7 linked regions of the Oryzias latipes genome follow. The protein of the gene in region 3 purifies or fractionates together with the protein of the main gene of each other region. This does not show direct contact. Links are inferred from orthologs where the notes say so. Each region holds a gene or a part of one and is shown on either strand. Other genes may lie near its edges. The genes, in order: hdac3, kdm5a, rb1, arid4a, e2f4, e2f3 and nucleophosmin.

Region 1 (4,234 bases), on a different chromosome or scaffold from region 3:
TAAAAATGTTTTTATTTTTATTCTGTTGCAGTTTCAATAATTATAAATAAAAGGTAAATGACACTCCAATGATTCCAGGTTTTTCAATAAAGTACATCTTTCGTCTTTTTACTGTCTCAGATGAAAGGAAACGAGCGGCTGGAGTCACCGTTTTAAACTTTTAATTCCAATAAAGAAGCCCTGTTTACACAGAAAACAGCTACGAAATGTAGGACTTTCTTTTTAGACAGAAATAAAGAAAATGATTTAGAAATGTCTTCCAAGATGTCTATAAAAGGTTGGCATTGAAAGCTGCTTTGCTGCTGCTTTTCAGTCCAAACCAGCTTAATGTTCCGAATCAGAACCAAACAGTGAAGGACCATGTTTTACTATAAAGCAGCTCAAAACTGGATCAGCTGTCCTGATGATGACAAACGTCTACTCAATGATATTGTTTTCTGTATGTATATCTGTGGATTGATATACATCCATGGATGTCTGTGGTGACAGTCGGATAACTCCTCACTTTCACACATTTGCACACTAGGAGAATAAATCCAGTTTTATAGAATGCAAACAAAGATCTGATGATGATTTGGCACAGAGGAGATTGATTGACAAGGTCAACAGCGAATCAGGACGCAGAACACAATGTGCTGTTAAAAAATGAGATCGCCACAAATGAAGACAAATGCAAATTTCCAAACATTTCCAGCTTCATGCTGACAACTTTGGCTGTTTTTTCCCCAAACATTTGCTGAAACTATTTTTTTAAGACGCAGCTTGAAAATAACATTGTTTTTTTTTATATTTTTAAGAACTGAAGCTGCTATGTTTGTTACAAACTCCAGAATATTTAACTATTAACTCTATTAATGCTGCAAAAACATGTAAAAAAAACCAAACATTTAGCTTATTTGTGACCTTCCTGTGAGTAACGATGTTTGATAAATAATAAGCAAACCATTTTCTTTTTTAAATGATTGCGTTGAATGTGGCTGAAGGTTCTCGTTTATCCGGGTGACGCAGTTTGGAATATTTCCTCGGTCTAATAGAGAAATCGTTCAGTATGATGATCGATTGTGGTGTAAAAAATCTGCAGCCCTTTATGATCATGTAAACATTTAAAGTCTGACCCTGTGAATAATTCCTAAATGGAGCTGAATATCCGTTACTAGAGGAGTCCATGAGTGACGGTTCATGACAAACCCAGTGATGGAGAAAAGCGGACGGCTTACCTTGTGGTTGAGCTGCGTGGCGCCCTGCAGAGACGCCCCCGTGTATCTGGAACAGAACTCAAAGAGTCCTGGAAACACAGGACTAGAGCCCGCCGTTGGGTTAGTGCTCACATTTGCATGAACCAAAAGCAGAAGACAGATCGATGAAGAGGAGGAGCAGCAGCAGCAGCGCTCACCAGTCATCTCCAACGTTGAAGGTGTTCAGGCTCTTGGTGAAGCCCTGCATGTTGTTGGGGCTGACCTTCTGCAGGAAGTCGATGTAATCTTCAGAGTGGAACCGGCACATGTCGTGCTGAGAGGCTTTGTACGGCTTAAAAACCTGACGGTCACAGAGAAACTGCAGAGTTCAATCTTTGATCTCGAAGCAACAGTGGAAGCAGGTTCTGGACCTTCAGGAGTGTCTCACCATCATCTTTTTATATAACCCATAATGCAACACCAGACTGTGGGTGAGAGACAAACGGTGAGGCTTCATGGGATGACCGGCACCTGCAGGAGACGCGGTTCACAACAAGCATCATCACTTTTTCATCATCAGCTCCATTTCAACATGATTACACTTCCAACGCGTTTTCACGACCAACAGGAAAGAAGATTAAAAAAAATGCTGCAGAATCCCTCCATTTAGTTTGAATCTGCTGCAGCTGTCGGTTCTGTAAATGTTTGTTTGTTGTTGTCTTTTCTTTTTAGACCTATAAAAACCAGAGAAACCACGATCACACTCTGTCAACAATCGTTTTGTCAATCAGAGGCCGTGAATGCTTTGGGACAAACACTTGTTTTAGATTTTGGTCTCCATTTTTATCCTGCAGTGATCAGCTCTTTGTGGACTCACAGCAGCTTTGAACTGAGCTCACACTAATAAAAAAACCAAATCAATGATAATCCCAAACTGTTCAGAGATTATAAACAGCTGGAAGTGATTAAGACCTAAAAGTTTTCATGATAACAGAAACGGGTAAGGACATAATTAATTATTATTAACCTTTCTATTACCTAAATCTAGAATCAGTACTCCTCAGCTTAATTGGTATATAGTATAATAGCCCATTCCTGTATAGAATACAAATTGCAAATATGTTGCCTGGAAATAACCAACTCAGTCAGGGTTTAAAAACACCAACAGATAACCCTAAGTATCTACATACACTCCTGCCGTGGGCAGGATCGCTACAATATTCTTTTCCTTTGCACCCAAATGTGACGTTATGTGTTCATTACTCACCTACAACACACTGGCCTGAACATATGAATGAGATAAAAAAAAATATCTTAATTAAACCCAGAAACAAAATTGGAGCTGAATTTTAACAATGAATCGTTTGAATTGTTAGCCTCCTCCAGCTAGCTTGCATTAGCACTCCTGCTCCAATCCCAGCGTTCAGCAAACTCACCGTAATGAAAGTTTCCCACATCTGGGTCGTAAAAGTAAGACGTCCTAATAGACATTTTAAATGTAAAAAAAATAATAATAATCCTGAGATTCAGCGAGGTTTTACTTTTTAAAGAGCGGCTCAGTCTGCCGCATTTTTCCTGCCGCTAACGGCTAACCGTAAACATTTAAAGGTGACGTCATCATGCTGGGACGCAGGGGATGGAGAGGGGAGGGGCGAACAGGGGGTCTCAAGATGGCGGAGTGAGTTTAAACCAATGAGTGATGATCACTAGAGGAAACATCACGTGGTTCCTCATGGGAGGAGAGCACCGCCATCTTGGTGAGGTCAAGTTACTGCTGCAGTGAATGCATTTGAACACATTTTTTGCATAATACCAGTTCATTGTTTGTGTTTCAACTGCCAAAATCAGAGAACTGAGTCCATGAAAGAAGAAGTATATCATTTCATAGAAAAGTATTATAATTTTTTTCTTTTGTTTCTTTCTTTTTCTTTTGTTTTTCTTTTATTAATAGAACACATGTTGACATGCATGATGCTGCAGGGTTATTATCAACATGCTGCATGATGTACGGAGAATTTGCTGTCGACATAAATGTACATTTTATTTTGCTAAACCTGTATACAGCATACTAGGCTATTATAGTAATATAGATTTATACATGTCTGACTCAGTGACCGAACTTTTCACTATTCACTATTCAGACTTAAGGAAAAAGTGGATCTTAGCAATAAAAAGAGCTAACCCAGATGGATCACTGTGGTACCAACTAGTAATACAGTCTGACTGTTCAAAACATTTGTGGAAACCAATTTAGATAAGAGGCCAGACTGTTAGCTTGAAACCTGACACCATACCATCTGTGTTACACAAATTGATCACTCACATGAATCTATTATTTTTCTTTGTTGTTGTTATTTTAGGGTAAATCTATTGTTCACTTTTGGAATTCTTTTGAATATTTATTTTATTATTATTATTATTATTATTATTATTATTATTATTATTATTATTATTATTATTAATAATAATAATAATAATAATAATAATAATAATAATAATAATAATAATAGACTTATATTTTATTATTTATTGACTTATTATGTATGTATTGCTATTATTTATTGTTTGTATTGACTTACTATTGATTTATTATTATTATTATTATTATTATTATTATTATTATTATTATTATTGAGTTATTGTTGGGTTTTTCTAAATAATTTAAATTACATGTCAAAGAGGTCTAAAATTCCTAAATGTTTACAAATTATTTTTTTTTAATTCTTTGTAATAATTTTTTTATTTGTAAGAAGTCCTGCAACAATGCATTTTCATTAAAGTTTGAGCTTTTAAGGCTGACTGTTTCTCTTCTTTAACAACAACAAATGATGTATCTATATATATATATATATTATATATATAAATATAATGTATTTACATATATTTATAAATATATATAAATTGTAAAAACATATATAGTATATAAAAGCTACTTAGACACCTCTAAAAGCAATAGAAATCATTGTCATGTGGGCGTCGTCGACCTCACCAAGATGGCGTCGCGCTCCGCCACCGTCGGCCAGGCTTCTAAAGCGGGCATGTCTCCTCTAGTGATATAA
Region 2 (2,954 bases), on a different chromosome or scaffold from region 3:
CGTTCAGGTTGTAAATGGTCGCAGAGTTATAGTCGTTCCAAGAGTGCGAGTTATTCTGCTCGTTTGGCGATAACTCCGGCGTTCTCTTTGTTTTGCTGATCATACTCAGGGATGTCCTCACCTTGTCTTTACATGGTCTCTGGCAGTTCTTAGCAGCACACACGGCGTTTTCGTCATTCGAGTCCTCAGCCCCCGACCAATCGTACTTGGAGGGAATATCCAGGATCTTCTTCACCTTCCTTTGGTCCAGACCCTCCCTGATGGATTCGGCCTTTGCAGCCGCCTTCTCCTTTCGCTTCCTTTCCTTCTCCTCCTTGGCCAGGCGCTTGGCCAGCTGCTTCACCTCCCGGTTTTTTTCCAGGCCGAGTTTCAGCTTCTTCTTTTTCGGTTTGATGCCCAGACCGAGTTCCAGACCGACTCTTTTCAGCTCTTTGGGCTTGGATGGCCTGATTTCAGACAAAGCGGAGGCTCCGCCAGCGGCGGCGGCGGCGGCCATCAGCATGTGATGGTGCTCGGCTCTTTCCAGCTTCCGCTTCCGTTTCTTCTCGGAATCTTTGTGTTTGATTTTCAGAGGTTTTTCCAACAGCAAGTTGTCGGGCTGAAAAAGCATAGAAAACAAATAAAGTGATCTTTTTGCTGTGTTTTTGTACTGATGTTGCACTTTGGTTATTTATTAGGGTAATTGTTGATGCTCTAAACGCGATTTCGTTGCTCATTATTGACAATGACAAGTAAGTAAATCTTTATATTTCTTAATATTTCGATACAGTCCTCTGAACAGTGCGTCTTGAACGACTGAAAACAAGCGGCGACATAAACGTTGCATAACGGACGACCTCCATACCTCCATGACCTGCAGGAATCTCTCCTCAGAGGGAGGGTGCGTGGCCTGCAGGATCCTCCAGATGTGCTGGGTCTCATCCAGGGACACCTCCAGCAGGTCTCCCAGCATCATCAGCTCCTCCAGCTGGGCCTTAGCCTGCGGGGACAGCTCCAGAACTGGTGGCTCCAGAGTCCGGGGTACCAGAGGGGTCTTCCTCGGCTGCTTTCTGGGAGTACTGACGTCTAGCAAAAATATAAATAGTTGACGTTATCAGAGAAAAAGAACTGAGGGGGTCATTTTTTCACCTTGAAAGGATTAGATGTGGTCTCACTTTGCACACAGGACTTTGAGGCGGATGAATACGCGTGCTCAGCGCAGAAGGAAGGAGTCGCAGCTGGCCACATGTAACTGACCACCTCCTCTGACTTGACAGGGATCTCCTCGTCACAGAACAGATATGGCTTCACCTCCCCAGGGTCCTGCACAAACACCCCCCACGTCACCAGATGAATTAAAAAAACAAAACAAACAGGGGAGTTTGTTCAATGCTCCTTCAGATCTCGCACCTTCACGTCATAACCGTACGTTTCCCTGATGTCCTCGTCGGAGTCCGTCTCCTCGTCATCGTAGTCCACGGAAGGACGAGGAGACGTGGCTCTGCTGAAGCCGGACTGCTGGAAGGTTTGGATGTGGCCCTGAGGAGAACACACAGACAGGAACGTGTCAAACATTCCAATGACGACCTGCAGAGATTTCGACTGGAACCAGGAATTGAAGGAAAACGCCCTAAAACGTACAGAAACCATCAAAGAAGTTTTAAATGGCGACTGGACAAAGAATAAAGAATATCCAGTTCTTCTTTTTTCCACTAAAATGACTGAACTCCAGTGACCTCTACTGGTTGTTTCCAGAAAAACATTCAGTCGTTAAAGATCCACTCCAATGAAAATTGTTTTGTTTTTTTTAACATGTTCTTGTTGTGTTTTTCTCATGACGGCCACAAATCTCTCGTTCCATTCCAAAGCACCACTTGCATCCACTAGATCCATGTGCGTCCCCATTCTCCTGGTCCGAACGGGTATCTGGCACAAAATAGGGACGCAGCGAAGCGAACATTTTTGGCCGAAGCCCAACAATAATTAAAACGCTGGGCTGAATACTGAATAGTGACCGAATATCAAATGAGGATGTTGAGTTTTTTTTGTTTAATATTGCAGAAATAGCCTAGAATACATTTTACACAACATTTTCAAATAAAACAAATGTTTATTTTATATTTTATTATCCAAGTCTTTCCAGTGAGTGCACTAGTGTATTTTATTAATATAAGGCTATGTCTTCACACAAAACATCAATTTCCTGCAAATTCTTTCAGCTTTTCAAACACGTGGGACACTGAAGGAGTTCCGCTAGCACCGCTAGCCTTCCTTTTAGCCCAGTTAATGCAGATGTGGTGAAGGCTTTGGCCCATGAACCCCTTCTGACAATTTAGCTCTGGAAATACTTGAAATATTTCCACGCAGCCGGAACTGCAAGTAGGGGGCAGATCGCCGATGCATGGTGATTGCGCCACACGCCGAACATTGTTTTTCAGCAGTGATACATTTGGCACCCCTAGTTTAAACCTGTATAGCTGGATAGCTCTAACATTGCTTGCCATTTTTGTTGCACCGGTAATGTTAGGTTGGACATGTGAAGGGCTGTAAGCTAGTGGGAAAGACAGTAAACAAAGATCTCTCAGCAATGTTTCGTGTATTGGCTCCACCGCAACGGTCTTGCTCACAGCTCAGAGGCAAATTTCCTGGGCTGTGTTCAGACCGTCATTGGAGACGCCTGTTCAAGCAGCCACTTGTAATGAAAAGTCTGCGTAAACGTGCATAAATGTGCATTTCGGGCTTCTGCATTCAAAATTCGTTTTCAAAAGATGGGCGGAGTGGCTCTTTAAATTTCACACAAAACATTTTTTTTAAGACTAGAATTATAGTTGGCTCAAACTAGTAGAAATGGGCATATGTGCGCCACCTGCAGGTCTGGGTTGGCGGCAGCTTTTTGCAGCTCGGCGTTGATGATCTTCTCCGTTTTTTCGCGCGCTGCCTGCTCCACCATCCGCTGGCTGAGGACGGACAACTTC
Region 3 (3,500 bases):
GGTCCCTCATTAGATCATACTCATATTGCAGCGTGTGCTGGAACAGAGTCCATATAACGTGCTCCAGGTCCGGGTGGTTGGAAAGCAGGCAGGAACAAAGAGTCTTCAGCCTCGTATATGCCAGTCGATACACTATAGAAATAGAAAAAGAGGAACTTTCCGTTTTACCAGTGGACGACCCAATTCAAACTAGTTTAAAAATAAGGAAAATAAAAAGTTATTTGTAAATGAAACAAAAAACAAAATTCTAACAGGAAGTTAGATGTATGATTCATCCAATTCCAGGTAAACTAATAAAAGCCTTGAACTACAAAAAGTGAGTAAGCTAAAACAAAATAGGTAATATAGAACTGTAGCTTAAAGGATGTTAGGGACTCAACAAGAACCCACACTGATGAAAATGGTGTTTTGGGTGTTTTTAACATGATCTTGTGACATAATTCTGATGATGGAGGACATGTGAAGAAAATTTAGCTTAAAATTCATTTTCTGAGTATATCTCTATTCAAGCTGTTGTGAATCAGGAGCAGATGAAAAAAATGCTGTTTGAAAAAGATCGTATTTGTTACATAGAAAATACACTGGGCGGACACAAGCTCCCTGCTCTGTTCTATTCTGATTCATCCACTTATAGACAAAGAGATCCAAAAACATCTTCCTTTTCCTTGTCTGAGCTGGTATGTGGCTCAGAACTACGGCTGGACACACAGGATAGGTTTTTACATTAGATAAAAATACGATCAAAGTGGAACTTTAACATCTTCTTAGATTATGTAGATGGATGTCTGTCTCTGATTGGACAATAAATCTGTTGTACTAAGAGTTAAGTTAATTTCAAATGTTCTGTGGTCTCTTATTGTAAAACACTTTCATACCCTGAAGGCGTTGTGAAGAGATATATAAATAAAGCTTAACTCATTCATTCAATGACTCCTTACAGACACGTTCTTTGTTTTTTTTAGCTGTTCCCTTTAGGAGTTACACAGTGAATCATTCACCTCCATCTAACCCTCTTCTTTGTTTCTTCCTCGTTCACATAAACTTCCTTATTAAAACCATGAAACTCCTATTTGGTCTTCCTCTAGGTCTCTTTGTTGGTGTTAAGCAGCCTTTTACCAGCATAACCACTGTCCCTACTCTCAATGTGTCCAAAACCTTTTATTTTTTTAAAACATCTCACATGAGCTGTTCTTCTGATGGACGATGAAGCCTTACTACAGCCAAGCCAAGTCTCACTTGTTGTCACCAATATCCACCAGCACCAATAGCTCTTGTTAAACTGACATCAAGGAAATAATCACAGAAACATCTTACATTTTTTATAGAAGAGGCTCAGAGAGTTAGACTTTGGTTGCCGTGGAGCTTGGCCTGCTGCCTGAGGTGTCGGCTGAGAGGAAGCCTGAGAGCTGGGCGTGGCTGGTGATTCAGGAGGCAAGACACGGAGACCTGGGCGAATTGGGGATAGATATCTGTAGATGGAGAAGAAGCCAAAGAAGCATGCGTCATTTCCACCACAAGTAAGGAGGCCCCGTGTTGAGTCATGCATTTAAACCAAGACAAATGAACTGACGATTTGTCCTCATTCATAACAGTAACATATATTTCAGGTTTAGAACAGTTCCGTGTGAGCTGAGGGAAAGATTGGCTCACAGGTCAGCTGCCGTGTGGTTGTGTTGCAGAGGTAAGCTGAAACTCGCCGGGGGCTCGGCCTGTTCTGTGGCTCCAGCTTCATTTTCCCGCTTCAGCAGCTCAAACAAAGGGGAGCCCTACAAAAACAGAATCATTTAAGTCTTTATCATAAACTTCACCTCAACCAGAATGAAAATACCGCACAGTGTTATGAAATGCACACAAAGACATTAAAATACAGGTTAAAACGATACATTTAATCAGCTAAAAAAGGAATTATAGTTTTTTTGGTCATCATTCATGTTCAAGTCATGGTCACTCACATAACTTATGGCTATCAGTAATATTCAAGGCTGTAAGAATAGATTCAAAAATACATAGTTCTATGATAAAAGTGATCTTTACTGAAATAGATTATCAGGTTCTTTCTGGCTCTATTTTGTAAATGTTCTTTTGATCATTCTTGTTATCTGATTTGATTTGTGTTTTATACTGATAGATTGATGTGCAGATGTATATAAACTTTAGAACAAGTTATTTTTTAAAATAGTATGAAACGCACTCTTAAAAGAAGTATAACATTTTTTTTTATTTGCTGAGAACCCAAAACAGATGAAGTAAAGTCTCCTTTCATAAACACGTATCAAGATTTAAAGGATCGGCATCAGGCAGGGGAGTTATGAAATAACTACAAACTGACAAACAAGAAAAATGCGATCAGAGATACACACCTGTAATAACTACCAGTCTGTTTCAAACTCAAAGTTTATTTTGGTTTCTGAAACGATATTAAATGCTAATAACAAAAATAAAAATAAATGTGCCCTAGTAAAATAATTGCATTCAAATTTTCTCTAAAAAATGTATATTTGCACAAAGAAATCGCTGTGCTGCAAAAAATAAGAAGAGACTTTAACTTTGAATTAAAGAAATTCTGATTTTGAGGTAAATCTTGAATGGTGTTCTTTGTTGTACCTCAAAAAGAAGAACAAACAGTGACACACAGAAAGTACAACATGTGAACATCTCATTTCACTAGCAAAACAGGCCAGATAAAACACAAAGTACAGTAGATAAAACCACATGTTGGACACTCCCAAAATGTGGTTTGTTTACAACTGTTGTTTGCTGTTTTTTATGACAAAAAAAATCAAGCAATTGATTTAAAAAGTTTGTATTAACTTAGTTATGAAATCTGTAAACTGACAAAAGCCTGAGCTCACAGATGGGGGTAGGGCTGGTGTTTTATTACATATTATGACCTCAGCAGCTGCAGGTACAGACACGATTGAGTACAAGCAGTATGAGTACAGTGCATTCCTAATGACAAGCTACACCCTGCTGACGCCAGAAACATTTCAAAAGTTACAAATTTACTTTTTCAAATGTTTGGCAACAACTTAGGACATTACTTGCACTGTAAAGATATAATATCTATCAATGTCCTGCAGCAGTTCCTTTATTGTTTGACAGTCAAATGAGATACAAATCTTGAATGTCTCATGAAACATTCGCGTATAGAATTGAAAGTCATAGTAAGACAACTTTACGTTTAAATCTAAAGGTTAAAACTGACAGATATTGACATTTTTATTAATTATTTTGATTTGGATAGAGATGTATAACTTTTATCTCATGTGAAAGTAAAAGTGAACAGTAGGGGGAGAACTTAAGTCCACAGGCAGACTCCTCCCCATATTTCAACAGTCCACTGAGCCCTTTGTGTCTCTACCTTTGACTTCCATGCAGCTGCGAGGCAGCTAATACTCTATAACAGGAACAGACCGACACCTGCGACGTATCCACAGAGCTGTTGAACTGATACGCAAACAACAAGATCAGCTATTTTTCTGTTTGGAGTCAAGAGAAAA
Region 4 (3,994 bases), on a different chromosome or scaffold from region 3:
CAAAAACAAACCTCACTTGAAGACTTTCAGTAGCAATAACCGTTTGTGTTAATGAGGTAAAATGTCACACTTTGTGTGTCCAAGTGGCTGTATGTACTTTACTGTGACTAATCGACAGGAAGTGATCAGCTGGTGTGATTGCATAAGCTGTGGTTTGATCCCGTTTCCTGGGCCGTCGTCATCCTGCGGATGCACAATCACACACACACATCCAGCTCACGCGCACACCTGCCCCCTCAGGTCTTACCTTGACCTTCACCATGCGCTTCACGGTCTTGATTTTGGCTTCACAGAACGCTCCTCTGTACTTGGCGCTGACATCTGTGCCGACTGTCAGGTAGGCAGGCTCGTCCGCTGCCTGAAACACAACACAGGCCTGCTCTCAAACAGAGTCCATAGCAAAAGATGGAACTTCATTTTAACAGGAGGAGAAAAAAAATCCAGCTTCGATGAATTTATATTTCATTTAAGTTCAGTAAACTGGCAGGCGAGGGTGGACTGCAGCCCGTTCAGCTCTGCATGTGCACGGCACCATCTGTGCCGTGATGGAGGACATCTTCAGACATCCGACTGCTGCTGCGGTCAGAAGGGAAGCAACCCGGAGCTCCTGAGACTCATTTTTACCATCAGGACTTTAGGACACCAACAGGAAACTCTCATTGCTGTTGAGACACAGCCGGTTAATAAGTATTGTGGTCTGTCTGAACTGCAGCGCTCCATTTCTCCGTTCTTACGCCACTTTGAGAGCGTCTGAATCCGACAACGTGTCCAAAGCATTTCTGCCGTCGGTTGGCCGATGTTTGGGTTCTCTCACTGACCCAAGGTCCAGATCGGCGGCCTCATGATCGAGCCGAAGAAGCAGTCGTCTCCCTGACTCAGAGAGCAAAGTGTAGCTGGAGAACTTCTACAGGGAGACCCACACTTCTGCAGTGACAACACTTCCAGACCCGAGTACCGTCCAAACATTTACGTTTGTGCCTAGAACTGATGCGATATACATCCGAGCATCGGGCCGACGAACACCAGATTCTACAGATAATCTGAATAAATCCATTTGACAGATTCGGTTTTCCTCCTTCAACGGATAAATACGTTTTTCTAGAATCCTGTCACAAATCCTCTTTGATCAACGGTGTTTGTAAAAGTGCCTTTTTCTTAAAGATAAAACAACTGATTTCTGTTTCTATTTTTGGACTTTAGGAGCAGATCCAAAATGACAGACGACTTTCTGACTGACTGACCTTTAAGCGTCTGGAGAAACTGCTTTACGGGCTAATTAACACACGGTTCCGTTTCAGATACCGAAAATAACGCCAAAGTTCTGAACCTGGACTGGGATCGGAGCAGAACCGATGTGAACGGCCCGGTGTGAACAGCCATAACAAGCCGGTTCCACCATGATGGACGGGCTCAAAGAAGAGTGGACGCGGGCGCCGTCTTCTTCAGGAAAACACTCACCTTCATCTCTCCGTCCGGGTTTTACTGGGAGTCCAGCTCGAAGGGCTTACGATCTCTGGAAGACAAAAAGCAAAGCGGGAGGTGAGGCGCTGGGGCTGCTGGGAGCCGAACGGCGGCGGGGGCTGGGTCGAACCGGAGCCGCGTAAAAGCTAACAACTAGCCACGCACTAGCTGAAGCGTTCTCCTGCCCCGCTGCTGCTCCTCCCCTCCCCTCCCTCCTGGATCTGGGCAAAATATGTGACACAAACTTAGCCAACAACAGCGTCCGCCAAATGTAAGCTCCGAATCCCCGCCGGTTCCAGACCGACGGTACTAGAGGATAGAAAAAAAAAGCCCCGCGGAGGGCAGTCCCTTCACTTCCCGCTCCGCTCCCACAGCCGCCGAGTCACGTCGCCATGATCACGGCTCGCCATGTCAGTCGAGTTAGCTCGGCTAACTTTACCACGTCCCATGCTAGGGGGAGAGAAAAAAAAGCCGCCTTTTGGACGACACGAGGGCGGACGGGCTTCTGCGACACGACAGAATCCCGACACGGAAACAGAAAAGTGCGAACCGCGCGCGAGCTTCGTCTCTCTCGACTCGTTCGCGGCGACATCGAGCTATTTTAGCTAACAAGCGTCTCAACTAGCTAGTTAGTGATCACACGGTGATTTAAACTGTCTGCCACTAGCAGACAAGCCTCCGCCAACTGCTACGCATCGCTTTTGTTCCGAATATGAGAGGCGGTTCGGTCCGAAAAGCCGCGATTCGGTGTCATCGGACGGAGCGGGAGCTGCGCGAACTTATTTATTTAATAAGCGGCTCTTCTGCCTTCCACAAAGGCGCAGAAGCTCCACATTTCTTCACTGCCATTCAGTTCCCAGGCAGCCTCCGTACAGCGGCCAGCCCCACTCTCAACTGACACCCGCGCGCCCCTCTTCTTCCCGCTCTCCGACACACTTTACGCAGTAAAAAAAACGGTGTTGATCGGTTAATAGGAATATTCGTTCTTACATTCACTGCCGCGAATTCTTCCCCTCTCGCTCGAGCTGCAAAACGATACACGAACAACAAGCTGTTGAGCCCCGAGCTGGCTTTCTGGACACGTGATTGGCTGCGCTGACAGCGGGAGTGACAACGGAGACATTTCATTGGTGGGTGCGTTCTCTCGTTTCCATTGGCTGTTTCCATGCTCTGCTGCTATTGGTCCATACGAACACGGCGCCACGAGAGAAAATACTGCAACGCTTTGCCGGCTGTCCAGTCACAGCAAAAGTGACACGTGAAGGGAGGGGGTGAGGAAGAAACGGGAGAGATTCCTATTGGCTGTCCGCTGTTTGTTCCCGCAGCGCTACGTTCCTATTGGCTGAAGCGGCTTCCTTCTTTGTACCGACAGGACAGGAAGCCCAGCCCCCCCCCCCCCCCCCGCTACGTGCTAGAAACCTTCGAACCAAACACAAAACCTTCGACACGAACACGTTTTTTCCCCCCCGTGCTCGTGCTCTGAACTTGAAGGACAATCCCGTCGGTGTCGCAGACGCGCGTGCGCCTAGAAGCCAGGAGTCGATACCGTGTTTACCGTGATTCACACGCTGCAAAACATTCGCTTCACGCAAAGACTCGCTTTGCCGCCATCAACCACCTATTTTACCGAGTCACATGATCAACTCGATGATGGCTGGACGCGTTTTTATTAAAAGGTCGCCTGATATTTCAGTTTCGTTGTTTTTTCCCCTGTCGTGGTCCGTCAAAACATTTAACCGCGAGGACGTTGAAGAGTATGGCAAGCCAAAGAGACAAAAAGTCGTCAGGAATTCTTCCAGTATCGCTGTCTGTAAACTCCACAATTTTTGTCAATTAACTCTATTTTTTGTTTTAAACAATTGACACAGCAGACTATCTGACCTCTATAGAATATTCAGATGTTTCCTTGTATTGATTTTAGACCGTCATTTATACTTACCTTCCAGCAAAACAGGATAAAAACTTCAATCTACTGACAGACATTAAACAAAACAGCAAGTTGTATTCAAAGATGCTATGAGTCGTACCTAACATTTTTTAAGAAAACTACCATTGAGTGTAGCTGAGAACTGGACTGAGCAACGGCACCCATAAAAAAATAGTTTAGTACCAAATGAAGTCGATTCAGTCGCCATTTCTTTGCGGTATGGACGCCGTCATGTTGGAGCCAGGCATCAGTAGCCGCGGTTTTGTGTGCAAAATATCTTTGATTGGATCAAAGATGGGATTAGAATTGAACTGTGTACATAACAAACGTTTAAGGTTAGGGTTACGCCACCTTTTCGGTCAGAATAATTCATTTTTACACGCGCAGAACTCTCTAAAATACCGGAAACGTTTGAATGCCCCACGATCAGATCAACAATTGTCATTTTAAGTTTTACGGTTTTTTTGCTCTCCATTGCCCGATGTTACACACGTGACGGCGAGCGTCGCTGACAGACGTGACATTGTTTTGCTGTCAAATCAGTTTGGCGCTAGAAGCCACAGAACGTCACACGGCGTGGGCTGGCTCGCCGTCTCTGTGTGCGTA
Region 5 (4,255 bases), on a different chromosome or scaffold from region 3:
AAGTCAGTTGGAAAGAAAAAGAAAAAAAATGTGTGCACGTGCGTGGAGTGTTTTATCTGCGAGGTGCAGCGCAGCTTAGAGTATCAGCAGACACTATATCAACCCAGTCACACAAGAAGGAAATGATCAGGAAGACAGACTCAAAAAGAGAAGAAGCAGAACTCTTCATACATAATGTAATGCCTGAATGGTCAAAATGACAGTTAAGAAAATAACAAAACAGAATCAGTGTGTTGTAATTTAAATGATTTTAGACTCAAGTGTCTCTCTTCTATGACTGTTATAGAAAAATATGTACATTAGGGGGGAAACAATCAATCCACTTATTTGATAAATTGATTTATATTACTACGATCCAACCAAATAAATCTGTCTGAGGCAAGTTGCTGATCCAAGCGACCTATACCATTAAAAAAAAATCCTTTCAAAATGTAATAAATTAGTTATATTGGAAAATACCATTTGGATTGAGGCACGTTAGGTTTATTTACTATAATGTAAAATCGACCATCACAGCAGACAACACACAAGTGATATCAGCAAAAACTGATCAACCGTCATTCCAGTCCAGTTTGTGGAAAAACTTTGAATTTAGCAAAGACATGGTCCCATCCAGTGGGCTAGAATGTTCTAAGAATGTTACATTTTTTAGGGTGTATTGATCCTTTTGAACAATTCGGTTAATATAATAATTTGTGGTTGACAATACGATTTATAGTAGATATTTGTTCATTTTGAACGATCCGATTCACTGACCTAAAATAGATCCAGGACATTTTTAGCCAAAACATCAATCAGTGGGACTCAGAGAGAAATACCTGGTACTGAACAGCACAGCGGAGGTTTTCCAGATTCCTTGCAAAATAACCAAGCGTAAATTAAATAAGTGTACAAACACACAAACAAGAATGAATGGCAAATCTAGACACAATAAATCACTAATTTATCGTTATCATGATATGATATATCATGCAAAAGTCTGCAAAAATTGCAATAAATCGTAACCTTAAGAGTGCTAAAACAATCTCATAGCAGCTTGAAGTATTTAATGAATCAAATAAATTCATTTAAACATTTGACCAATCAGATGGAGCCTTTCACGTGGTTGACCAATGGGATGGAGCTCTTTTATGTTGGCCTCCTATGTAGACGAGGGGCAACTCTTATTTAAATTAAAACTGTTGCAGTGAAATGGAAATTATGGTTTTGATCGTTTTGCTATTTGTTCATGTATCGCAAGTTATATCCTCATCGCAATGTTTATCACTAATATCGCATACCGCGAGTTTTCCTCATTATATCGTGCAGCCCTAGTCAAATCCATTCACATTTTTGGTTTCATCAAGTTGCGACATATGACCACACTGTATGGTCAAAAATTATGTTTCCACACATCGAGCCGTAATGATGGTTGGTCATGCTTTGCTGCCGTCACATGCGTGTTGTCTACTGTGATGCACTCGGTTATTTTTACAGTTATGGTCAAATAAACCTTCAGAACCTCAATCCAAATGGTGTTTTCCTATATCCATATAATTGATTTATTTCATTTTGAAAGGATTTTATAATAATAAAACACGTTGACTCAATTAACAACTTGCTTCAGGTCAATCTGGTTGGATCGCAGCAATATAAATCGATTTACTGATTATTCGTAACAACCCTATCTATGGCAAAAGTGGGCTGAACTTTGACACTAAAATGGGAATTACTTGTTTGTTTGTTAAGCCATTTTATTTACATTTACAAGAAATACAAGTGACACTGTTCAGTACCCATTTATTTATCTCTGAGTCCCACTGATTGATGTTTTGGCTAAAGATGTCCCGGACTATAAATCATGTCGTGAAGCACAAATTATAAAGTGGATCAAATTGTTCAAATAAATCGTAACACCCCTAATGTAAAAATATGAAAAGTGCAAACGTTATATATTTTTTTGTATTTGTAGAAAACTATTTGAGCTTTTACATCAAACAATGTGGGACTTTAGCAGAATCCCAATAGTAAACATTCCTGCATTAAAGCTAGTGATGGAAATGTGGAAATGTGGCCCCTGTACTGTGAAAAACAAAGCTAGCCTAATTTAATCAACATCTGTGCGAGTACTACTTCACGCTTTGAGTCATTTCTGAAAAGCAACATTATAAACGCATGTCGTTCGTGGACAAAGACGCAATCAATCATAAAACAAACTTGCTCAAGTGTGAAGGTGCAGTGGCTTTAACTGAGAGTAGAATGACAAAAGCTGACCCACTTTCTAAACTTTGAATCTGCAGGGGGGCAGAGAGTCGAAAAAAGTTGACCGGTGTTCTTGAAATTCACTTCGTTTCTTCACTCAGAAAGGCAAAAATCTGCACCATAAAATATTAAATGTGATTTTAATTGTAAAAGTGGTGAACTAAAACAACAAACTTAGAAGGCAAAGCTATCTTTCATTCAAATTAGCCTGTCACACAGCTAAGCTAGGCTAGCATGCTAGCTAGATACCATGTAACTTAACGACTGCGGGCTGGCTCAAAGTGACATGTGCTAGCTAACAACAAAGAGCTCACAGCTTTCAGATCCAGGACTCCGTCCTTCGCCTCTTGTAATAAAGTGACGAACTTCGTCGTGAGCAAGCCCAGGCTCTTCTCGTGCCTGCTCGGCGTCTGCGGTTGCAGCGAGTCTCCCACGGTTCCCGGGTCGCCTCTGTTACTGGCCGTCTCCAGCTCCATCATTGCTCCGGATCAGCTCCGTACTTCCCCTCTTCTCTTGCCTGCTTTCCGACTAAATCCAGCCAGCGAGCCCAAGAAAGAAAGCTCCACCGCCGCAGTTCGAAACACACACGCGTGGATGGTGTGGTGCAAATTTACGAGTCAATACTAGCTGCTTTTCTGAAAATAACTGAGCAAAATCGAGCTGAAGCAGCGAGTATGGAAATTCAATGAAGGAGCAGTCGGTGGAGAGCCGTTGGCCACGCGAGGTATGACGGGACGGTGCTTTCGTTTTAGGGACCGTGTGCAAATGTTCATGAAAAAATAAAACCACGTAAAAAATACATTTGCTAGCACGAACATGTATTTCTAGTGATTTATTTTTAATGTAACATTGAAAAAAGTATGAAAAAAGACGGTTAGTAGTTTTTCTATTGCGATTTTAGGGGAAGTATTGGTTGCAAGAATTTTTGGTAGAGGAGAAAGTTTAACTCGAACTCTTAGCAACTTAAACTTGAAGAAAACGCACTTCCACGCGCGCACACGCAGGCACCGTTCTTCAAATGAATATTTGAAAATTATTTTCCCCTCTAAAGCTTTTCTTCCAAACCACATTGTCATTGACTGAAACATTTTCAAGGTTGCAAAGCAGTGCGAATTAGTGTACTGTGTAAACATTGGTTTGTAAATTAAATATTTTGAATTTAACTATTTGAGTTCAGTATTGCATCCTAACGACTTTATTTTTTTTAACCACAAAAATGTTACCACATAATTTAAGTTTAAAAGTTATTATAGGGGTGTAACGATTAATCGACTTAATCAGTGAAACAATTTTATATTTCTACATATTTTCTAGGGCAGTTGTTAATCTATTATCTATTCAAACTATTATAAAATCTTTTCAAAATTAAATAAATCGAAAATGTCAAGATTGGAAAATAGCATTTGGAGACATGGTAGGTTTATTTTACCGTAACATAAAAGCGACCAAGTGCATCACAGCAGACAACACATATGTGGTGGCAGCCAAAAAATAAAAAAGAATGTTACAGTCCAATGTGTGGAAACACTTTGAATTGTGTAAAGACATGTGGTCATGTGTTACAACTTTATGAAACCAAAATTTGAATGGATTTTCTTTTAATTTTTGTTTACTTGTTTATGTGTACACATCAACTCTACACTTGCCAGAAGTATCAGAGTACCAGAGTCACACTGGTTTAAAAGTTTTGGCTAAAAATGTCCTGGCTGGATTTTAGGTCAGTGATTGAACTGGATCGTTCAAAATGAACCAATATTGGCTATTAATTGTATCAGGAACAGCAAATCATGATATAAATTGATTTGTTGTTAAAATGAACCGCTACACCCTGAACTACATATCTTTAAGTTTATAAGTTACTTGATGCAGTAAAATTTTTTAATTTAACTACAAGATGTTAGAAATGTGCATGTCTTTCACAACCTCACCTTGCAGAGTTTGGCTGTTCTCCCCAGGTTTAAGCGTCCATCACAGCTGTTCCTGACTCAGTCCTTGACCAGGTTTCAATCTATGT
Region 6 (4,056 bases), on a different chromosome or scaffold from region 3:
CCTTACTTCTGGGTGTCTTTATGCGCGTCCCGTTGGCCGCTGGGCCCCCCCCTCTGCTGCGTGGCGTTCTGGCTGGTTCTAACTGGTACTGGTGGTCTGATTCATCAAGAGCCAACCGCCTCTTTGCCTGGAGGAAAAGGGTTATAAGAAAATATGGTTTTCTGACAGATGCTGGTAGTTTCATCTCCAGGGTTGCTCAGCTCAGTTTGAAGCTGAATTGTCAGACGATTCCCAAAACATTAGTACTATTACTTACATCAGGTTAGGGGAGGGGCTCGCCCCCACCCCTGAAACCAACTGCTATGAACAGAGGTGCAGAGGCAGCATCTGGACGGAAATTTACCCCAAAGCGTGTGGGCAGCTGTGGCTCAGAACGGACATATGACATTCTGAACATCAGCAGGTTCTTTGGGATATGTGTGTAACCATATTCTAAAAAAATCTAAACAAATGTATGATCTATGCATCCAGATTGTGTGAAAGACCACAAAAATGCACAAGTCTGAAAATCAGAGCGGGACGGCCATCATTTCACCTCAAACTTCATGACCAGTTGGCGTTCAAGCAGCTTTAAAACAAGACACCGTCATGATGGTCTCCGAGGGAAAAGAACCGTAAATAAAATAAAGAAAAAAAAAAGAAATACAGGATATCCCGATTCAAAAACTCCAAAATAAATGTTATAAAACATTGTAATGGCACACTTAAGTCATTGTTAAAGACCCCACTCCTATGAACTCGTGTTTTTAGCAGCATTTAAACGCATTATTTACACACAAATCTGGAGACGTCAACAGGGTCTCAAATCTGATGTGTGTGTGAATGTGGTTTTGTGTGTGTGTGTGTGTGTGTCAGGCGATTGGTCCGTACCATTTCATTAGATTAGGCTGCAGTAGTTTCCAGGTGCGTGTGCAGAAACTGTAATTACTTTTTGTAAGTTTTTAATATTCAATTTTACACACAATTGCAAGTACGCACAAAATGTATTGTATGAGTTACAAATAAAAAGAAATCAAATCAAGTGAGACTTTATTGTCTTCATGGTAACCATCCATAATAGAGCGACTATAAAGAGCAGAGTTGCTGCTTTCCTGTTTCCTGAACCTACAAACCCAACTAGAATCTATGGAGTTGGACCCAGAAACCATCAGTTTTCTGTGTTGGGGTCTTTAATATGATTCAAACAAATGAATCTAGGGGATGATTCCTCCTCAGAGGACAGAGAAGATGCATCTTCCACTAAACTTGCAATGGCATATAATTTATCCTTCAAAGTGTCAGCCATTTTAAAAAAATCAGCAGGAGTCTGTCTGGCTGCTCGTGGCTTCAGTCTGAGGTGCAGCCTGCTGGGGGGGGGGGGTTCGTGAAATGTGGAGAACACAGAAACCCAAATGTTTTCTGAACTCGTTTATCTGCGGTTCATGCATGTATGTAGAGAGAAGAACACATGAAACGTGCAGTTAGTTCCAAAGCAACAAGCTCGGGTTTCACTTCTCCTTCACTTGAAAGGAACTAAAATGTCACTTAAGTCACAGAGGACGTCAAAACCAGACGACAAAATAAAGGGGGGGAAAGGCAAGCAATGAGTTATTTTTGACAAAAATTTAATTTTATGGCGCTACTAGCTTGGAAAGCTAATATTTCTATAAGTTGGTTTGCCCACTTGGAGGAATCTATTGAGTAGTTTCGAAACAAAGCAGCTGCATTAGCTCAAATTTAGGAAGGTTCCCCTCCTCTTATGTCGGTAGAAAGCTACGAAAAGGGCCGAAAAACTCAACAACCAAGGTCTCCAATCCCACATAAAGACACCAACAGCAGCTACTAGGCCAGCGCTACCGTTACTCATCTCTTACCAGTACTTCCATCTGGCTGCAAAGGTGAAGAGGACCCTGAGCTGGGTGAAGTTAGCGAGTCTTATCTTAGAAGGCAGGGGGGCATTTCTGTACACGCAAAACTAGCTAAAGCTGGCGTTTTGCCCCCAGAAAGTTGACGAAAAGACTCTAAATCAGCCTGTTTGGGTAACTTAAGCTAGCGGTAGTTAGTTAGCTACATCGCTAGTCGTGGGATTGCCCTGGCTAAGCAGCTAACGTTAGCTGTCTAACAACAAGCTCGGCTAGCTAGCGAGCTAACATTTGTCGTACTTATGTTGGGTTCGTGAAAAATGTTGAGTGTTATTACCGGTGGTCTCCCCAGAGCGGGTCGTTGTCCTGCTCCGTTCGCCGCCGCTTGTTGTGGAGTTGTGTAAATGTTGTTGACCTGAGCCTCGGATAAACACACATTTGATGTCTGTGTAATATTGCAAGGCGGTGGTGTGGTTATTATTTGGATATACGTAGCGTTAGATTGACCGGGGTTCAAACGATCCGCGAGAGCTGTTAAAATTATATTACTGTCCAGAGGAGAACCCCCGACCTCTGCTAAAATCACTTTGTCCGGAGCCGAGGAGATCCCTCTTCTCATCTTGCGTATTCAGGGTAACCCCTCTCTTGTCTCTCAACTTTTAAGCCCGTGCGGCCGCTAATCCGTCGCAATGATTTCAAAAATAATCAGCCCAAAGTGTAGATAAACGTCTGAATGATCGACTTTTAAAAGTAAATTTTCCTTAAGAAGGTGCATTTAGGCAGATGCATCGGATTTAAAAGTAGCGCAACTCTCGTTTCCACCGACTAGAAATGGCTTCAGGAAACGGCCTGATGAATGAAGGGATACGGTTTACGCGCTCAAGAGCCCTCCCGCGAAACTCAGATTTCCCGGGGAATTTTCAAACTAAATTTACATGTCCGTCGCCATTGAGCCTTAGCTCAGGAGTTCCCGCCCACATCCCGACCGAACCGGCCAATTGGAGGACAGAGTTCGTCTCGCCACGTGCTCATTGGCAGTTGTAAACATGTGGCGTCACTTGTCACGCCTTGCATGCTGCAGATGTAAACGCCAGGTGGCGCCAGCAACACATTTTCCTCCAAACAGTAAGGCTGTTCGAAACGGAACGAAACAATTCAAAAATATGAATGCCAATGTAAAGAAAGCAGGTAATAGATTTGTTAATAACCATAAAAATCATTTTAATTCTTTGTTATTAAACGACAAAGATATTTATGTGTATTTTGGCGCTTAAAGTTAGAAGTGATTAAAAGTTGGGTAATAAGTTTAACCTTTATTTAAGAGTGAATAAAACTGCATGCATTTTCAATCTTACATTTCAATATATTCAATTCAATGGTGCAATATTTGAAACATTTTTTACTATGTCCATAGTAAAATCACAAAGAGACACCCTAAAAAATGCTATAAACTGCTTCTTCTCATGTAGAAAGAAAAAAACAACAATCACAATTATGTACAACATTAAAAACCACTGTGACACCAGCTTTTGGTTGATGTCATTTGGATATGGAAATGGTGTATAACAAAAATCAAAACAAAAATAAACCTAAAGACGACAATCAACAGAAATATATAACTACATAATACAAAGATAAGCCAATATCAAACTGGATAATTTGTCATGAAATGATTGAAAAATAGACACACATACATCCACATACACCTGTAAATAATGCAGTTATATTTACAATGAATCCTAAACAGTCCTAAATGCTCTTAGACCTACAGTACATCACACATTGAAACCATTAAATATTAAAATTGTCCAAACGAATTTAATTGTTTGAAAGTGTCAGGAACTGGTGATGGAGGACCCAAAATGCAAGAGACCAGGCTTGGTGACAGAAAATAAAACATTTAATAAACAAACTGAAAATTGACAAAACCCACGGCGCAACAAAAAGGTGACCTGACAAGGCAGAACTTGTAACCATGCACTTAAATAGGCTGAGGGCAATTAACTAAAATCACGACATCTATGGATCATGATGGACGAGGAACTGGTGTGACTGAGGGCATCTCAGAACCTGACCAAAAGTCACAAAAACCAAACAAAACCACAGAATCCTTACAGAAAAGGAGCGAGGCAACCCGATATAATCCCACCCTTATTATATTTTTCTGAACCTTTTATTTTAATTTTAAACATTAACTGTCATCATCCAGTTCCTA
Region 7 (3,211 bases), about 2.8 Mb from region 3:
AAATAAAATGCCAACAACATATATGGCTGGTTTAAATTTAAAAAAAAAAAAAAAAAAGCAAACTTATACAAATGAGACATCAGATTGGAATGAACTGCTTTTCCAGTTTTAGAATAACAATCTTATAAATGAAAAATTGATTATTTGGAAATGCCCAGTCTCTGAACTCCCAACAACAATCGTGTTTCCACTTGTAAAGAAGCAGAGAAAGGAAGCCAGTTAAAAACATTTCCTCATAAAGCGCATGTGACCGTTGACTGTACCGGCACTCCCTGCTTTAGGGTAAAATGTCCTCCCACACATTTCAGGTTTTCACTAAAAGCCACCAACACTTGAGCACAGACCACTACGTCACAGTGGATTCTGCATTCAGAGGGATCCGTCTGCTCTTTTGTGACCCATTTCAAGAGCTTTGTAAGCTCAAAGCGCCCTCTAGTGGTTTAACACAAGCCCACAATGTAAAGTTTCAAATCTTTACAAAGGACAACAAAACAAAAAGGTATTGAGGAAATTTTATTGGTAAATTAACGCAAAACAAAGAGGAATTTACTTGAAAACAAAGCATAGTTCTAAAAAGTGAATTAATTCACCAGCATAAACTTTGAGATGTTTTTTCACCTTTTTTAATAAAGCGGAAATGATAATTCCATCAGTATTCAGTCGACATAGAATGGTCCTCGTCCACAGGCCTCATGCACCGACAGGAACTGCAAACTGAAGACTGCGGGATACGCTTAACCTTGAGGGGGGACGGCTCATTCTTAGAATCATTACACAAAACTTGCATCCTCATGCATGAAGTCCTCACAAACTTCACTATAAACCTTTGGACTGTGGGGCCAACTGTTGCCATAGCAACACACTGTAGGACTAAAAACAGGTGTTGATGCCTAATCCAACACGCTTTATTTTGTAGACAAAAAGAAACTTAAAAGGTAAATGAAGAAAGAAAGGGTGTGGTCAGGGGCTTACAGCTGACAACCAAAGGAATGAATTTACCCAAAACTTGCATTTCCATTATATTGCATTCCCTTGTTATTTCTTTATTAAGTCAAATGCTGTTTTTTTTTCTTTTAACAAGATGGAGATGTCAGATGAAGTCTTCACAGACGGACGGGTGGAGGAAAACTTTAGGTGAGGCACAGACTGAATTCAACGGGATTGCGAGGCGTTACAGACATTAACAAGTTATAAAATAGTTAAAACTCTAGTGGGCTATTTCTCCTCCTTGATCGTCTGTCTCCACTTCCACAGCTCTGAAATCACCTGCAGGGAAGAAATAAGATCCAGCTGTTAAGATTGTAAACATTTTTTTTAATCTTGTAGTGATTTCTTTTCAACTCCAGACAGGAAAACCCAGATTCTAGACCCTGTTACCTTAGCATCTGTGACATTTTGTCCATGCTTCATGAAGTTTTCAAACTTGGCCTGGACTTTAGGAAGCGCCACGCCCTGCAAACGTACACAACAAAAGTCAAACTTCCCCCACAAACTGAAGCGTCTTCCATAAAGGTTCCATGGAGCAGACTCCGCCCACCTTCTTTACAGACTCCATAATCTTGGCCTTGATCTCAGGCAGAGTTAGGTTTGGTTTAGGAGTCTGGGCTTTAGGTGATTTAGCACCTTTGCCTTTAGGCGTCTTGTCCTGGATGTGAAAAAAAAGGTGAGTAAAAGGTTAGCAGCTTTAGCCCCCCGCAGAGCACCTATTGCTGGAGGAAGGACTCTGTCATCACCTGCTTGGTCGCAGGAGTGGAGGGCGCAGAACTCTTTCCGTTTTGAGTCTGGGCCTTCTGCTTGTTTGGAGTTTGTTTGACCTGCAAAGAAACCAGTCAATAAATAAAACATATTTAACAGTAGAGACAAAGATATAACCAAGGATGCAGAAGCTGCTTTACCTTAACAGGAGATTCCTCTGCCTCACTCTCCTCATCATCTTCATCATCATCCCTACAAAGAAAAATTTTAAGAAGGAAGAGTTTAATACCACGGAAAATACCAATTATTTTTACAATTACTTTGTAAAATAGATCCCTGAATCATTGTTTAACATATTTTGTTTCTTGCTCGATTTCCAGGCTCTTATTTTTGGTTGAACGTTCTCTGGGTGTTTAATCATGCGTCTAAATTATATCTGGGTTATCTTAAGGATTATGCCTCATTTAACAATAATTACATGTAATATATAAATGCAAACATATGGCTGCAGCGCCCTCTGCTGGTGAACAGATGGAAAGAAGTAAACACCTCATTCCATTAGATGAGCAGGTAAACTACCCATTTATTAAAAACAAAGCTTTAAAAGATATATATACATTGTAATTTTGTTTTAACTATAGTGAACAATTTACTTTTATATCTGTATATATGTGAAAATATATATATATATATATATATATTTCCTCAAATATCACAAATTGTCATGAATTATGGGATGTCATACACAGCCTGCTAGCACTGTGGGGAAGACACACTGGAACGTGTGAAATCTAAAGTTTTGACATTTCCCCCACAAATGAAAAGTGTTAGTTAGGAAACTCTTAAAAGGACTGTGCGCTTTCTAACTCTTACAGGATCATTATTTAGGTGTTGTGTCTTCATTCATCTACTGGAACTGTCAGTAAAACTTTAATGGTCAGAAGGTGTAAACATTTTCAGGATTTGATACAGAATTATCCAAAACAGTGATGTTTATGCGCTGCTTACTTCTGAAGTTAACCAGGAAGTTGACAAAAAGAAAACTTTGGCGTTTAGAGTGATAAAAATCATTTATTTTTTTCTCATTTATTGATTCTTATCTGCCGTTTTAAATAAAAAAAGTACCGTTTACATGATTTTAAATGCATACTTTAATGTTCTTACATCCAGTAAATAGACGTGTGCAAACGGTAAAATGTTTATTGTAGTTTGATCTGATAATCGTGGATCTGGATTCATGAATTGGATTTCCACCGAATTAACAGCTTAAGTTGATCACATGCAGTATTCTCCACAGTCTGATATGTTAAAAGGAAAAAAGTCAAATTTCTAAATATGAATGTAGTTTTGGGAATGACCTCAGAGACAAACACCTGATCCAGGACCCGCCACTTTGGGCCCAAACACCATTTGGATTTCTGACAACACCAAGACACAAAAGAAAACATTTGCCGTCAGAATGTTAATACTCACTCATCATCATCCTCATCGTCTTCATCTTCATCATCATCCAAGT

The links.
Region 1: the proteins of rb1 (region 3) and hdac3 purify together in Homo sapiens (affinity purification with western blotting; 3 studies listed by BioGRID). This does not show direct contact. The link is inferred for Oryzias latipes from reciprocal best matches to the Homo sapiens genes RB1 and HDAC3.
Region 2: the proteins of rb1 (region 3) and kdm5a purify together in Homo sapiens (affinity purification with western blotting; 4 studies listed by BioGRID and IntAct, with this or other methods). This does not show direct contact. The link is inferred for Oryzias latipes from reciprocal best matches to the Homo sapiens genes RB1 and KDM5A.
Region 4: the proteins of rb1 (region 3) and arid4a purify together in Homo sapiens (affinity purification with western blotting; 3 studies listed by BioGRID). This does not show direct contact. The link is inferred for Oryzias latipes from reciprocal best matches to the Homo sapiens genes RB1 and ARID4A.
Region 5: the proteins of rb1 (region 3) and e2f4 purify together in Homo sapiens (affinity purification with western blotting; 10 studies listed by BioGRID and IntAct, with this or other methods). This does not show direct contact. The link is inferred for Oryzias latipes from reciprocal best matches to the Homo sapiens genes RB1 and E2F4.
Region 6: the proteins of rb1 (region 3) and e2f3 purify together in Homo sapiens (affinity purification with western blotting; 9 studies listed by BioGRID and IntAct, with this or other methods). This does not show direct contact. The link is inferred for Oryzias latipes from reciprocal best matches to the Homo sapiens genes RB1 and E2F3.
Region 7: the proteins of rb1 (region 3) and nucleophosmin purify together in Homo sapiens (affinity purification with western blotting; 3 studies listed by BioGRID and IntAct, with this or other methods). This does not show direct contact. The link is inferred for Oryzias latipes from reciprocal best matches to the Homo sapiens genes RB1 and NPM1.

What each region holds. Positions count from the first base shown.
Region 1 is NC_019868.2:25,322,757-25,326,990, forward strand, and holds the start of hdac3 (histone deacetylase 3), read right to left. Parts: upstream 2,801-4,234; 5' UTR 2,667-2,800; coding exon 2,612-2,666; intron 1,707-2,611; coding exon 1,624-1,706; intron 1,537-1,623; coding exon 1,394-1,536; intron 1,300-1,393; coding exon 1,218-1,299; intron 1-1,217. UniProt on the Homo sapiens protein: Histone deacetylase that catalyzes the deacetylation of lysine residues on the N-terminal part of the core histones (H2A, H2B, H3 and H4), and some other non-histone substrates.
Region 2 is NC_019881.2:6,893,977-6,896,930, reverse strand, and holds part of kdm5a (lysine-specific demethylase 5A), read right to left. Parts: coding exon 2,846-2,954; intron 1,519-2,845; coding exon 1,390-1,518; intron 1,303-1,389; coding exon 1,155-1,302; intron 1,066-1,154; coding exon 845-1,065; intron 599-844; coding exon 122-598; intron 1-121. UniProt on the Homo sapiens protein: Histone demethylase that specifically demethylates 'Lys-4' of histone H3, thereby playing a central role in histone code. Does not demethylate histone H3 'Lys-9', H3 'Lys-27', H3 'Lys-36', H3 'Lys-79' or H4 'Lys-20'.
Region 3 is NC_019872.2:15,916,388-15,919,887, forward strand, and holds part of rb1 (retinoblastoma-associated protein), read right to left. Parts: exon of another isoform or gene 3,388-3,500; intron 1,767-3,387; coding exon 1,651-1,766; intron 1,470-1,650; coding exon 1,315-1,469; intron 133-1,314; coding exon 1-132. UniProt on the Homo sapiens protein: Tumor suppressor that is a key regulator of the G1/S transition of the cell cycle. The hypophosphorylated form binds transcription regulators of the E2F family, preventing transcription of E2F-responsive genes.
Region 4 is NC_019880.2:2,469,968-2,473,961, reverse strand, and holds the start of arid4a (AT-rich interactive domain-containing protein 4A), read right to left. Parts: upstream 2,801-3,994; 5' UTR 2,452-2,800; intron 2,421-2,451; exon of another isoform or gene 1,627-2,420; intron 1,618-1,626; exon of another isoform or gene 1,514-1,617; 5' UTR 1,465-1,513; coding exon 1,459-1,464; intron 359-1,458; coding exon 248-358; intron 1-247.
Region 5 is NC_019864.2:28,153,448-28,157,702, forward strand, and holds the start of e2f4 (transcription factor E2F4), read right to left. Parts: upstream 2,801-4,255; 5' UTR 2,721-2,800; coding exon 2,556-2,720; intron 1-2,555. UniProt on the Homo sapiens protein: Transcription activator that binds DNA cooperatively with DP proteins through the E2 recognition site, 5'-TTTC[CG]CGC-3' found in the promoter region of a number of genes whose products are involved in cell cycle regulation or in DNA replication.
Region 6 is NC_019874.2:11,042,039-11,046,094, reverse strand, and holds the start of e2f3 (transcription factor E2F3), read right to left. Parts: upstream 2,801-4,056; 5' UTR 2,461-2,800; coding exon 2,179-2,460; intron 2,141-2,178; exon of another isoform or gene 1,866-2,140; coding exon of another isoform or gene 1,854-1,865; intron 128-1,853; coding exon 7-127; intron 1-6.
Region 7 is NC_019872.2:18,726,462-18,729,672, reverse strand, and holds the end of nucleophosmin, read right to left. Parts: coding exon 3,169-3,211; intron 1,948-3,168; coding exon 1,896-1,947; intron 1,815-1,895; coding exon 1,734-1,814; intron 1,646-1,733; coding exon 1,538-1,645; intron 1,453-1,537; coding exon 1,378-1,452; intron 1,267-1,377; coding exon 1,216-1,266; 3' UTR 501-1,215; downstream 1-500. UniProt on the Homo sapiens protein: Involved in diverse cellular processes such as ribosome biogenesis, centrosome duplication, protein chaperoning, histone assembly, cell proliferation, and regulation of tumor suppressors p53/TP53 and ARF.